2 linked regions of the Drosophila melanogaster genome follow. The protein of the gene in region 2 interacts with the protein of the main gene of each other region in a pairwise test. Each region holds a gene or a part of one and is shown on either strand. Other genes may lie near its edges.

Evidence for each region. Proteins that work in one complex are often made in the same cells at the same time.
Region 1: the proteins of PNPase (region 2) and CG31121 interact in a two-hybrid assay, tested with the Drosophila melanogaster proteins (one large-scale study listed by BioGRID).

What each region holds. Positions count from the first base shown.
Region 1 is NT_033777.3:24,890,805-24,897,781, reverse strand, and holds the start of CG31121 (uncharacterized protein), read left to right. Parts: upstream 1-3,176; 5' UTR 3,177-3,597; intron 3,598-5,946; exon of another isoform or gene 5,947-6,207; intron 6,208-6,977. Other genes in the region: CG11069 (uncharacterized protein), read right to left, coding at 250-363, 420-606, 665-856, 913-1,051, 1,106-1,199, 1,254-1,371, 1,431-1,896, 1,952-2,096 and 3 more.
Region 2 is NT_033777.3:31,400,148-31,408,253, forward strand, and holds PNPase (polynucleotide phosphorylase), read right to left. Parts: upstream 5,306-8,106; 5' UTR 5,124-5,305; exon of another isoform or gene 5,098-5,123; intron 4,594-5,097; exon of another isoform or gene 4,506-4,593; intron 4,458-4,505; 5' UTR 4,411-4,457; coding exon 4,265-4,410; intron 4,209-4,264; coding exon 3,789-4,208; intron 3,729-3,788; coding exon 2,508-3,728; intron 2,436-2,507; coding exon 1,907-2,435; 3' UTR 1,690-1,906; downstream 1-1,689. Other genes in the region: Gcn2, read left to right, coding at 1-8, 71-1,041, 1,104-1,230.

The DNA of each region.
Region 1 (6,977 bases), 6.5 Mb from region 2:
AAATTCCATTGAACTATTTTATACAATATTCAATGAATTCACTACGAAATTATATTAGTCTTAAGTTTTCTTGTAAATAAAATGATATGTAATTCGTAAACAAAATTGTTTGATATTTTTTGGTACCCTAAAGTAAACTTCGATGCAAAAACAAATGTTTATACTTTTAAATAGATACAATGAGAAGTTTTTATTTTATTAAATTAAAGTTAAATCTAGTGAAAACTTGGAAACATGATATCTGAATCCTTAGTCCTTGAACTTCTGGCGAACACATCTAGGCATTGGGAATAGGTAAACCAGCATGTTAAAGGCGGCCAAGCCCACAGCAAAAGCGCAGGAAGCGGCCACATCGATGGTTTCCTGTAAAATAAATAATATAATAATCCGATAAGCTACCATATTATCATCCCACTTACATCGGGATCCGGCAATCCCAGTCGCTCGTGCATGAAATCCGCGGGTTTGGGACAGATCACGGAGGCGGTGGGAGTACAGTTGAGTTTCCTCGACTGGAAGGCGATGCTGTGCAGCAATGAGGATGCGTAGCGTGTGTGAGTGCCCTTCGTGTTGTCCTGCAGCCAAGGTTGAAGTCCCTTGAAGGAGCTATTGGTACAGACACCTCAAGTAACTCAAACTATAGTATGAACACAGCCTTACTCACCGCACAGTTCCACTAGCCAGTGCAATACTTATGACAAGGACATAGGTCACTGCAATGGCTGCGTTGAAGGGAACCTTGACCACCAAAAGGAACGCGATCGTGAGCTGTTCCGCCAGCACAAAACTGGACCACAGGGCCACTAGCAAGTAGGCGAAGACAGTACCATTGTTGTACTTCACATCCAATAGCAGACTGAAAGAAATAGATATATAGTTTCGAGTCCCGATACCCAGAGAGATGAAACTTACGGATATACAACACAACTGGCTATGACGGCAGATACGGCGGAAAATGGTATAGACACGGAGTTGTAGGCAATCAGTAGAGTTGTGCCCGAATAGAGACCCTCTGGAGTATCCTGCGAGAACTTCTTGCGCCAAATCGGAACTATGGTAAAATATGCTTAGACAGCTTAACATTGAAGGGAAAATCGAAACTTACATAAAGATATGGTAGTCAAAATTCCACAACCGTACGACAGCCCCAAAATATTAAGGATCATGCCGTTTTTTGTAAAGAATCCATGTGAATCGTCCTAGAAAATTATATTAAAAAATGCTTAAAATGTATAAAAAATTAAGTTTCTTACCCCGACATCTGTGTAAAATGCCCATAGGATGCTTAAAGCCAATGGAAGAAGCAAAAGGCGCAGAAATAGTGTCTTCATACCAACGAGTCCACAGGAGAAGGTTGATGCTAATAGTTTCCTAAAAACGAAGTCAAGAATTTTATCATATTTGAAAAAAAAGAAGTAAGTTTAACTTACAGATACAGCATAACCCAAACTTTGAGCTCTCCAGGCTTTCCATAGGCCAGAGGCACTTTCCCAGAACCCATGTTGTTTAGAGGGGCATCCGAGATCGGTGTTTCCCGAGAGAAACGTTCCACCAGCGCCTCGATCTGCTGGCTAGACTCCAGGAATCGATCCCGACTGCGACGATCCACAGTGGACAGGCAGAGATAGTACATCAAGGGATTCTCGAGCTGTGGACAAGGGAATCCGATGCCATGAAAGTACTCCAGCATGGCACGAGTGCCTCCTGAATAGACCACTCCGCCCAGGCAGAGGAATAGGGCTCTATCCAGGAATGGGAACACATCGGAGCGAGGTTTCTCCAGCGACAGAAGAATTCCACAGCCCGTCTTCTTGGCCGTGTTGGACAAAATGGATATCAGCAGATAGGCACTCAAGGGATCGAGGCCATGGGTCGGCTCATCCAGCAATAGCATGACTAAAATAACATTTTTGTTATTTAAGGAATCTTTGTGATATATTCATCATTTTACCAGGATCTCTGACCAACTGTATTCCAATAGCCAGACGCCGTGCCTCACTGATATTAAGATACTCCACTCTCTTATGCGCCACTTGGGAAAGGGCCAAATCCGCCAGCACTTGGCGCACTTTGGAACTCTTCAGATAGCCACTCAACTAAGAAGGGTTTGGGTATTAACACAGTCAGTTATTACTTAAAATCTCTTCATATTCATTATTTTATACAAATACTCACTATAGTGGGGGTATAGTGTAGTGTTTGGGCCACCGTTAGACCAGGAACAAAGGTGCAGGATTGGGTGACATAGCCACATCTCTGTTGGAACAATGCCTTGGAGAGCGGAGATCCATTGAGTAGCACCTGACCACGAGTTGCTCCATCGGCACGTCTAGAAATAACATCTAAAAGAGCTCTCTTGCCGCTACCTAAAGTTGGTAAAATGATTATTATTATTTTGTTTTAACAAAATGTAAATTAAAAATATACCCTTCGAGCCCAGAATGGCCATAACCTCGCCGCTGTGCACGGTTAGATTGACGCCTTTGAGCACCAGGGCCGAATTGCCGGCTCCATTGAAACAGCCACCACCATCCACCTGTTGTTCAGGCCAAAAAGAAAACAATAAAGGTTTAATAGCAGGGGGTTTTCACGAGTCTAAAGAGAACGTACCTCGGTGGTGTGGAAAATGTTGTGGGCTTCCAGTACGTAGTCGCTGCCGATCATTTTCATAGCCACCGCTGGGAGAGCCGCTTTTGTTTGTTTATACTTCTCGTGCTCTTTGGGCCGAAAACACTCTGTTCGTAACTCAAGAGTGGTTTGTTAGGAGCTGATTTTCAGTTCCAGGGAGGGAAGAGAGAATATCAAGAGTGTAAAAGTGAGATTGAGATGTAGAGATACTTGATTATAAATTGGTATTTGGCTAAAACTGAAAACTAAAATTTTACACAATAAACAATTAGGAAAAATCCAACACATATTTTTTCAAAAAACTTTAATACATATTTTATATGATATTTTAGATGCTTTATTAAAATATTCTTCGGTAGTCACTTACCTCCGCGAACACGTCCTCACCAACTGAGCGCTCTGTTCCAACTGAACTGAAACTGTTGCTTGCCATTCCAATTGGCATGGCTTGAACCGCTCCGCTCCGCCTGGAAAGCGGCTCTCTCCGGCCAACTCGCTTCCAGGCGAAGCAAGCGGGCTAAGATGGCGGCCGAGGCCAAGTTCAGATCAGTTCGCTGCGAGCCGAGCTCCGAGAGAGTTGCCTCCACCGATCCGCGGTTCGCGTCGATTCGATTTTTTTCTGGCGGCCCCCTAACACACAGTTCCCAGAAGAAAATTACAAAAAAAAAATATGAAAACACATAAAACGCATTTGGAAATCTAATTGAAATATTCACGGCTTAACGGGCTATAATATACACACATATATCTGTGCAAAGGCGAATATTTTTTAATGACCACCGGGAAGTGCATGCAAATGTGGTTATTTGTTGACTCGCGGAATATCCAATAGATACAAAAAAAAAAAAAAAATAAAAAAAGGAAAAAGTGGCCAATATCCAAGTGACGTGAGTGTGTGTGTGAGCAGTGTCTATATGGTCTATATAAAATATGCAGACATCGGTGTAGCCAGCAGATCGACATTGTAATGTAAGTGTTTTGCCCAAGTTATGAATGAGTGTCACCGAGCGGCTAATTAGAGTCCAACTGGCCAACTGGTATTTACTGTTAATTGTATTAGGCCAACGGCAGCACTTGCCACCTCGAACCAAATGAAACCGACGAGTATCCACCACGGTCCACGTTCCATTCCTTTGGGTATAATACTAATACCTTCTGGTTCTTCTGTTTTTTTGTACTCCCCCCCTCTTCTGTTCTTCTGTTCTGTTCTGTTCTGCTCGCGCGGTCGTCACCATCGCAGGTCAAAGATCCCGCGAGCGGGTTTTGTCTAGCAAATGTATCTTAGCCCACACTCCATCCACCACTGCCACTGCTGGCACTTCTTTGCCGCTCTCCCTGCGCTCAGCGCCCTGCAGAGCCCAAGCGATCCAAAGTGGAAGTCCAACTCGATGCCAAAACCAGAACCCAAGTGCCAGCCAAAGCCGGAGTCGCTCAAACAGCCAAGTGCCTGCTGCTCAACTCAACTCCACTCGGCTCGGTTTGTCTTGTCTTTTATTTTCTCTGCAGCTCACTGCTCCGCTGCACAGGAAAAAAAGCGAGATAATAAATCTAATATACAAGCAATATATCATATTTTAAATATTTATGTTTTGTTTCATCAAATGGCTTCATTTCATGTTTCAGCTAATGGCTATAGCATTAGTATAGTGTAAAAAGATATATCCTTGTTGCAAATTGAATAAAACAAATTTATTTAATTATTTAGTAAACTGTTTCATTCAAAATATTTGATATTTTGTTTTTTAATAGTTCAAATTATATTTCCAACATTTTTATATCACATATCATTATGTAGTATTTCTCGCTGTGTGCCAGTGTGTATCTCACAGATACAAGTTTCAGTTTGTTTGTTTGTTTGGCCGGCTGTCTTTGCCTTTGCCATTGCCTCTTTGCGGAGCTGGGTTCTTAGCTCTCCGGGGATCGCTGGTTGTTTGCTCTACCCGCAGATGCTAGCATCGTCTTGGTCTGGTCATTTCCTCGTAAAAACTGCCTTAAACTTACGATCGAGCACTATAGCCATTATTTGTTTTTATGTTTATACTTTAAGCACATAAATAACTTTTTATGCGCCTTAGAATAGTTTGCATAGCTTATGGGTTCTTTTTTTTTGCAATAACGCAAAAGACTTTGACTTTATATAACCATTCAATTTAATCTACTCATTTCTGTAATAAATGATTGCAATATATGTTTAAAGAAGAATAAAGTTTGTCACGTATTTCGATGACCCGGAGAGCGATGGATTTAATTTCGAACAAGATGTGAAAGCCATAACAGGTCTGAAAGACATTTTTCGCTGGGTAGAGGCAAATACTTTATTCCGGCGTGTACTCTTCCTATATCGGCTCATAAAGAATAACCACGCGGCTAAGCAACTTTCACATTCATTTTGCAATTTCGATGCAGCTGCCAATCTGCGCTCACAATCACTTTCAAAATTTCGTGCCGCGGAACTTGATTTCTCATCGAAAATGAGCTGCGGGCTAATGGAGATTTTGGCGATTGAGATAATTTGGGGCTTTAGCACCATTCTCAGGGCCCCCCCAACTGCAGATTATTGTCAAGCTAATGCCTTTGGCCCTTCGCAATGCAAATTCCCAGCCTCCGTTTCGGGTCCATTTCACTGAATCTCGCACCTAATTAGCCATGTCATGTTGGCCGGACCGTTAGAATGCTGTTAAAGCCATGGCCAAGCTCATTGAAAAAGTTCCAAAATGTATTTTGCTTCTTCGAGCTGACTTGCTGGATTGTTTTTCTAGATTTTCCCATTGTCGTCGCTTTTTGCCGCCGTTTTTTGTGGCGTAAATTAGTTAACAGTATTATTATGACCGCTAACGGGGCTCCCTGATTTGTGGCTGCTGTTCAGGCCCCCCGCAAAAAAGATATCAAGCCATTCCGGGGCAGAGAGAAAAAAAAGCGTTTAGAAGCGGACCGACAGGCAGCGATCGTAATTCAATTTCGACAATTTCAATTCCAGTCCAGAAGAAAACAAATACAGAAACTGAGAAAAAAAAAGGAAAACAAATCAAAAGACTTAAGACAGCAACGCGGAGTCTAGACAAAAAGACCAAGGCGCGGCAAAGAGCCAGCTTAAGTTGAATTGATTGTCAGTTATGGCTTTGTGGTGAGTTCGGATCCGGAGTGGGGTGCTGGTGGTATCTAGCATTGGGTATATGGGATCTGGTCTTTGTCTTGGGTCTAGGCTGGTTTTCTGATCGGTTCTTTATAGGTGTGGCTGCATCTAGTTGGCCAAAACTTGTTCTTGTTCTCTCGGCCTGAGTCCTCCATATGTGTATGTGTTCAATTTCAATTGAACTTAGTCGCTGGTTATTCCGATGGATGGATGGATGAATCATTGCATTTAATGATAGCGGACTCTGGATGAAGTCAGCGGCGGGCCATTGGAATGACGATGATGATGATGATGATGATGAGACGGAGACCCTTGGTCGCTGGCAAAGTGAAAACTCAACGAGCAGGAAATGCAAATTCGAAATTTCCCACTTGCATAGGCAATCTCTCCAGCTGCGGGGCCATTAAAAGTTGCGACCATGAAAATTGTGGGCATTGATAGATACGGTACGGGGCCACAGTGAGTTAATTTACTTTTTATTGTAATTAAATTAACACAGCATAGCTGAAGACGTAAACGAAGAAGAAGCCGCAGAAGCAGAACAGCTGCATAATTAGGCGAAGAAAGTACATTTCAGGCTACACACACTTCGTGACTTTTACGGCCGTAAAAAGAGAACTCCAATTCATTTCGCTCCAAGTTCACAGGCACGGTTCAGACATGCCGCTGACATAGAATCAGAATAGTGGCGGAGTCGGAGTCGCAGATGAGACCTTATTTGATTGGACGTGAGCCGAATAAATTGCTCTTAAAAACCATGTCACATATTTACTTGGCCCCCACATTTTGCACTGGGAAAAATAACTGACACCTAACATTGCTCATTCCCCCCAAGAAGGCTAGTCGTGTAGATTTTGTTTGTATTTCAAACAGCGAAATTAAATGGAATTCTACCAATTTGATGTTGATTTCTGCGCAACTCGAAGATGAGAAATGTTCAATAATAATAAAGTGTGATTATTAAGAAATCTCTTACCACAAAATAGTACACTCTTCGACCAAGCTAAGACATTTTCGTTGAGTGTGGAATTGGCGCCCATAAGACCCAGTTGCTGTGTGTCTTTGGGTCTGTGGGTGTGTTCGGGAATTTGGCCAAATAAGCCCGTCTGTCGCATTTTTATGCATGCAATGGCAACGCAGGGAAAAATTGCCATTTTTCTGTTTTCGTTCGGTTTGCCATGGAATTTATGTCAATTAGCCTGGTGGCACCACACGT
Region 2 (8,106 bases):
GCGTAAAGGTAAGTAGTAATCTTCTTTTAAAAGCAATATATTTGTCTAACCGGTTCCCATTCCCTTTCAGTGTCCTATACACATATGGGCTGGCTTGCCCATCAGCTTCGATCGTGCCAGCAACGGTGGAATTGTGTGGCAGATGACCGCTGACCTGAAGCCCAATCGCTCTGGCCATCCTTCGGTTCTGGCGATTGGGGAGAGATACGACTCTATGCTGCATGAATTCCAGAAGCAGGCGCAGAAGTTTAATCCCGCCATGCCAGCACGTGGAGTTCTTAGTGGAGCGGGCTTGACGTTCTCCCTAGACAAGCTGGTAGCTGCTGTTGGTGTGGAATACGCTAAGGATTGTCGGGCGATAGATGTGGGCATTTGCGTGTGTGGAACCCGTCCACCGCTAAAGGATGTGACCTATATCATGCGTCTGCTGTGGTCGGTTGGCATCCGATGTGGAATTGTGGAGGCCGCCAGCGAATTGGGAGATGAAGCACAGGATCTTGCCCGCCTTGGGGCGTTACATGTCATCCTGGTGGCGGAAAATGGCTCATTGAGAGTGAGATCTTTCGAGAGGGAACGATTCCAGGAGCGTCACCTAACAAGAACCGAACTGGTGGAGTTCATCCAGAAGATGCTGCGAAGTGATGGACTCAATGGGACCACCGTGGACAACTTCAGCCAGTTGTCAGCCTTGGGTAGTGGTGACAACAGAAGCAGTGGTGGAAAGGAAAGAGAACGCGGCGAGAATGGTCTGAGCACCTCCGCATCGAATGCCACCATCAAGAACAACTATAGCCAGTTGCCGAATCTTCAGGTGACGTTTCTCACCCACGACAAGCCAACGGCGAACTACAAAAGGCGGCTAGAGAACCAGGTGGCGCAGCAGATGAGCTCAACGCTATCGCAGTTCCTCAAGAAGGAGACCTTTGTGGTCCTGGTGGTGGAGTTGCCGCCTGCTGTTGTAAATGCCATTGTGGGGGCCATTAATCCACGGGAAATACGCAAGCGAGAGACTGAACCGGAAATCAACTATGTGATCGAGCGGTAAGTTAACAAATCAATTCTATTTGGTCTGCTTTCAACTGCAACTTCATCAATTCATACAGATTTTCGAAATACAAGCGCTACATCTCCGAGATAAACGAAGAGGTTGTCGACTATCTGAGCGATGCCAAGACTCCCATTGTGGCCTTGTACAGCATATCCGATTCCTACTACCGCGTCATCATCTAGCCAACATCAAATGCATAGAATCGGCTGAACTACTTAGTAGACCAGCCAGTAGTGTAAGCTCGAAAGTGTCACAAATTATTTTCGCCGAAATTCTACTTAACTGGCTGCCCTCCGTGCCATTAACACTTTTGTTTGTTTGTGCGAATCAAAATTGATGAGATTGTATGTTTCTGTATCCATTTCAAATGGTTGAGAACTTATTTCTATTCTGCCAATTTATTGAATGCCTTTCTAGTGGAAGCTCTCATTCATAAACACATATTTTATTATAACTTGGTTTAAAGTTAAATCCATACTAAAGCTGTTCGCTCCTAAGTCAAAAGAATAGTTGGAAACTAAAATGATTCTTTTTGAATTTGTATAATTATGTTTAAACAAGATTAAGTATCCGAACTTTCTTGCACTTCGAAATTAAAGTTAAGTAGAGGCTAATATTTTCAGAGAAAATTCTTAAAAATTGTTTTATAAATAGCATCTCGGGGTTGAATCGAGCAATAACAATTTATTTATACAGCTGACGGTCAAATAGGTGAATCTTCATCCAATATTTTATATACGTACAACTTTTAAGGACAACATTTTTTAGCCTACAATAAAATTTCAAGTTTTGAAGGCGTCTTTTCGCAGACGAAACATAAGGAAAGCTCACTGTACAAGTTAATTTGCATCTTGGAACTCACGTTCCGCTCTCTCCGGCAGATTTGTTGAGCGAACGGGGGATTCCCAGGGCGGGCCCTTGGAGAACCTTTCGCGAAAGACGCATAAAGCCGGAGACGGGATCGCGGCCAAAGTACTTGACCTGGATCTCCTGACCCACTTCCAGGTTTAGGGCAGAGGGATGGGCTATCTTGCGCTGATCCAGCTGCGAGTTGTGCAGCAAAGCGGGTGGCATACTGGGATAGAGGATGACCATTACTCCGGTGTCTCGCAATTCGGTGATTTTGGCAGTGTAGATTCCGCCGAACTCCAGGTCCGGCACTCGTTCCTTCACCATGTAGCCCTCGATCAGCTCCTTGGCCTCATCCATGGCTGCTTGCGAAGGAGCAAAAACATTGAAATGGGTCTCATCGACTGCTGTTAGGGAGGTGCCCGTTTCCAAGTAAATCCGCTTCATGTGAAGGCCGCTGGGACCAATTAACTGCGCCCTCTGTTGCGGCTCTACAGTTAGGGTTTCACTCACTGGCCAGCTCTCCTTGGGGTATTTTCTAAACGATTGCGAGAGTATTATAAAATTAGCATTTAAAACCATGTAGTTCCCTTAAGTGACGTGTACTCACCGAGGTTCCCTAATAGCCTCACTCATGATGTCCAGAATATTAGATTTGGCATCGGTGGCCTTTTGTAGCGATTCCATCACAACCTTAAGAGGAATTCCCGGGATCTTGAGGTCCGCCTGGATGGCGGTGAAGCCTTTTCTCGTGCCAGCCACCTTCATGTCCATGTCGCCCATGTAATCTTCGATGCCCAGGATGTCGGTGAGAATGCGGTAGTCCTGCAGGTGCTTAGTGTCGTCGTTCTCGAACTTTGTGACCAGGCCAATGGCCACACCTGCCGCAGGTGCGCTCACTGGAACGCCGGCGTCCATAAGGGCCAAGGAGCCACCGCAAACGCTGGCCATGCTACTGCTCCCATTGGATTCCAGGACTTCAGAGGTGAGTCTTACGGTAAAGGGATAATCATTCGGCAGGGTGGGAAGCAACGATCTCTCCGCCAAGGCTCCGTGGCCCATTTCCCGGCGACCCACTGGACCAATCCGACCCACTTCACCCGTGGCATAGGGCGGGAACTCATAGTGCAGCATAAAGTTCTTGGCCTTCAGGCCACCGCTATCTAAAGCAGCCAACGAGTCAAGTTTCATTGCGCTTTCCTGCGAGTCCAAGCTAACCGTGCAGAAGACCTGCGTCTGACCGCGCTGGAATAGGGCGGATCCGTGGAGAGGCTTGTACATGTCCACCTGGCAGGAGATGTTCCTCAGCTGGTCGTAATCTCGTCCATCGCAACGCAGACCCCGCTCAAAGATCAGTTCGCGAAAAATGGTTCTACTGGTCTGGTTGAACTGCTCGGTAATAAGCGACGGTTCGGTATCCGGAAACGAACTCCACACCTTGTCAATAACGTTGGAGCGCACCTCGTTAACCGCATTGTCACGAGACATCTTGTCGTGCGTCGAATCCTGGAAGATCTCTCTCAGCCGCATTTCGCACATGCTACGAACGGCTTTCCCCAGTTCGGGATCTACTTCGGCAGCCACTTCCACTTCGCGCTTCTGTCGACCATAGGCCTTCTGCAGTCGCTCGATCTCGTGGATAATGAATTGGGCCTCACGAGTCCCTTGTTTGATAGCCTTTAGAAGGTCCTGCTGAAGAACCACATTCCCCTTGCCCTCCAACATAACGACGAGGTTTTGTTTGGTGGCGGAGACTACCAAATCCAGTTGCGAAGTCTGCAGCTCCCGGCGCGTGGGGTTGATCAGCACCTCGCCGTCGCAGAGGCCAACGCTTTGTAGGATTAAAAGAGTTATAAGCGGTTACCAGTTAGATTCGTTCGTGAGTACTCACCGCACAGCTCCAATGGGTCCATTCCAGGGAATGTCACTTAGAGATAGCGCCATGGAAGCGGCATTGATTGCAAGCACATCCGGACTGTGCACCGCGTCCATAGCCAACATGTTGCACACCAGCTGTGTCTCCGTGCGATAATCTTTGTGGAAGAGCGGGCGTAGCGAACGGTCGATAAGGCGGGCGGACAGGATCTCTTTTTCCGAGGGGCCCAGTTCGCGGCGCATAAAGTTCATGGGTATTCTGCCAGAGGCGGCGTTTTTCAGTCGGTAGTCAACCACCAGAGGCATGAATCCCTGGCCGGGATTTGGCTTCGCCTTGGCCACCGCGGTGACCATGACGGCGGTATCGCCCATTTGGCACACAGCTGTTCCATTCGCAAATCTCGCCAGGCGGCCGGAACTGAAGGTCATGTTACGTCTGCGGAGGATTCAAGACTTTGCTATTGGAACTCGGAGTGGAGGCCACGAACTCACCCATTGCTGAAGTTGACTTCCACGGAGGGCGCTTCTCCGTTGGAACTGCTTTGGATTCCTCTCCTTCCTCCTGGGCAGGACAAACTTAGGCATTTGAGGCGATAGTTGAGCAGCTTCAGCGATTTCCGTGTGAAAATCATGGCCATTACCTAAAAGTGCCGGGTGATTCCGGCTGAGGCGACAGTTCTGTACGCTGTATTTTCATGGTTATTTAAGAAATAATTAGTGGTCAAAATCTTACAATAAAAGCCCTGTACGTTTCTTGAGACTTGGAAGTTAGACTTAGAGCGCCTCAACTATTTGTATTGTTTAATTCAGTTATCTCAAAACTAGAATGCCCATTTAAAACAAAGTAGAGTGTGCAACATGTGTGCGTTCGGCGTTGCCACCTGGCAAGGGTAACAACAAATGAATTATATAGACAAACTATTACACGGATTATGTCTTAGGAATAATGTAGTAAATATTAATACAGCGTATTTTAAAAAAATTAATTTCGTTTCCAATAAGATATTTAGAAGGGTTCCCAGAAAATGAACTATTAGCTTGTGTCCCCGATAATGTCAAATTTGCAGTGCTGCCAACTCTTAGCAATGTTAGTTACAGCATGCAAGAAACAGCATTTAAATTCCTTTTCAGAAACGAAGAATTAAGACGGTATGTTCTGAAAGGTCCTAAAACGACCAACAGAATGACGCGACGATGTCCAAATCGCCAGATCTAAGTAATTCAAGCTAGCTAGAAAATAGCTGAGGCATCAGCACTACACAGTCCGCCAAAATTAGTCCGTCTTTTTACGCGTTTAGAGTTTTTTACCGCGAGTCGAAGACGTCTTTCACTAACTCAACGACGGTCTTACAGAAGACTCCAATATTTTTCGAGCAGGCAATTCGCGGATCCATCGTTAATTTTGGGCACTTGCAGAAAGCCCAGTTGCGAACGTCGTCGTGTGTCGTCTTAGAAAAGCCACTCCTCCAACCGGAAAACCGCAAGAGCGTCGAGCCCTTGTTTTGCGAGCCTTTTCGAAAAAAGCTGGGAATTTCACGCCGTATTTTTCGTATCTTTTCCGTCAACGAAACGCCGCGTGTGTCGTAGTGTGCGTGTGTGTGTTCTGTGTGCCCGCCCATCTGTGCATGTGTGAGAGCGCGCCTGTGTGTGTGAATTTTGGTGAGAGCCGCAACAACAACCGAAAAGAAAACCAAAATCGACAAATGCGGTCAAATTGAAAAGAAAAACAAAAAATCAAAGAGTATTCTTGCGCAAAGCCAAAAGGCAAAGTCAAAAAAGAGCGCAAAGCCAAAAAAACGCAGATTTCCCAACGAAAAGGCCGGAAAATTGCCCACTAGGCGTGTCGCTGCTTCTTCTTGTTCTTTCAAATTGTTTATGCTGCAATTGCAGTGGTGTGCGAAAGGAGTGGTAGAGAGAGAGAGAAGGAAAAGCGTCTTATCAACGCCCGCTTTCTTATCAGAACCCACACATTTGTTGCGAAAATTCCAACCAGCCGAAACTCACAGTGAAGCTTTAAATAGCACATCAAACAAACAGGTAAGTCTCATTAATCAGCTTGAAATCACCTTATTTTCTACTGCTCCTCGGTGGTCACAACTCACTGGCTGTTCCCCTCCTTTGCACTTAAGCACTTAACGGTAACTGTAAATTACACACACGTTGGCCTTGTCTCTCCTGGCGATTAATTGCATTAATGCCGCAGGACTCGCGCCATCCCTGTCACCCCACGCCAATCGATTAAAAAGTGAAAGCAATCGGGAAATGCTTATCAGTAGGTCCTCCTTCTTTGCTTTTTAAATGCATAAATACCCATGCACAGATGCACACATGCAAGCAATCAGCCCAACAATGCACTATATGAATATTTATAGCTCATTATTTATTGTCTCGCTGTTCCCGTCCATCATTTGACCCGCTAAAGAGGGCAGGTTGGTAAATAAATGAAAAGTTATCGAGATAATCGGTGGAATTGTTGGATCATTAATAATTTGTTTATTTTTTAGTTAACCTCTGACAATTTATCAATGACTTAGTAGACATAAGTCAGCTTGTTATTTTTGCATTTACCAAGATATCCGGAAGTAACATCTATTGCTCACACAAAAATATATTGGGCATTCACAATAGTGATGACTCACTGCCATGCGTGTTCACTGATTATTTTGACTTCTAAAATCATACATTTTATATTTACGTAAAGTTTTCAGAGCTGATATAAACATTAATTCAAGATATTTATTTATTAATCACTTGCACACTACTTCCAAAATACTGTACGTTTTATGCAAAATGTCGGAATAACATCAGAGATGTGATGCACAGGAAAATTCCCCATAATTCATGAAACCTATTTCCAAAATTAACAGAAAACTATTTGCGGTACTCGAACTCAAAATCTGTATTTTTATAGCACGAACATTGGAAAAGAACGCAAACCAATTAGTGAAACCATTTTGAAATCACCATAAATCAGCGTGATTGCCTGGCAATAAATTCCCGTTTCCATTTGCAGCTGACAAATGCGAGTCGTTAAAAATAGTTTTTCCCCAAAAGCGTAACTTTCCCCCGCTTTTCAAGGGCGACCCTCGCAATGTCCCGATGTACTTTCCTTATCGCTTCTGCATTTCGAGTTCTTTTTTCTGTGGTACGTCATCGGCAGCCGGGTGTCTCTGATTGTTTGAGAATCGCCTCGCCGGCTGCATAATTAAGACGAGCTGGACGTTTAGCTGATAAACGTTTCCACTTTTCATCGGCGGATGGGAGTCAATGTGCCATTCACAGAAGACCTCTACTCTGGTACACAGATGGTGATTGTTAAAGTCCAAGATCTCTGATGTGTGACCCCATGGGGTGCCCTTTTCAACTGTCAGGTCGCAACTATTGTTTCCATGTTTCGAGGGCTTGCGTCACAGTTTATCGACTCGAGTTGCGAGCTGCGAGCTGTGAGTCCCGAGAACCCGCAACCCATTCCGACAGGATGACGTAGGCAATTGGCAGAAACATGTGTATCCTGGGTATCCTGGGCCCCGTGCAGACAACAATAAACCATCAGCGCCAACCCCATGGGCAAATAAAACCCAATCGAATATTATTATCAATGAGGGCAGGACCCAAACAACGAACGCCAGTTCGAGCGCGAAGGAGGGTTGGCCACATGCTGCTCTTCCCTTGGCAGGATATCATTGCCAGCACTTGGACCCAGCCCACTGAACTTCCCAATTCCAATTCCAATCCCGACCACGCCCACATGCCATCATCGTCGCCTTCTGCGCTAATTTGGCGCGACTTTGACACTTGTTAGCCAATATGTTTTTGGCTCGTGTTAATGGCCCAACGGGAATTGATATTAATTGCGCCGCACGCCCCTCACGCCGCCCGAACTGGGCGTGGTCGTCGGTCAATATTGTTGGTCTCTAGAAGAAAAAAAAAAACAACAGAAAACGAAAAACACAAATGGCCCGAAAATCAGCTTAAATCAATTTTTTGTGGTCGCCGCCTTTTGTTCACTTGCTGGTTTTTGGTCCAAAATCGGCTTACCAACTTCGGTGCCTGTTTTTCTTGTGACTTTGGGCTTTACAAAGAGGCTCTAAGGTTCCCTTCTCGTTCAATCTAATTAATCCTGCCTTCCTTGATTGAGAATATGGGATTTGCCTTGCCCTTAAGAAAACCAGATTTCCTCACCCTTTGGCAGCCAATGAAAACTGAAAGCGCTCCCAATGTTTCCATTTTTCCAGGCCCTGTGTTTTCCTTTCATGTGCCCTAATAAAACTAAATTCAATTAGAACTTGCAGTTCGAGTTCCTTGTGCGTGTGGGAAAAGTTGGAGTGAAATGT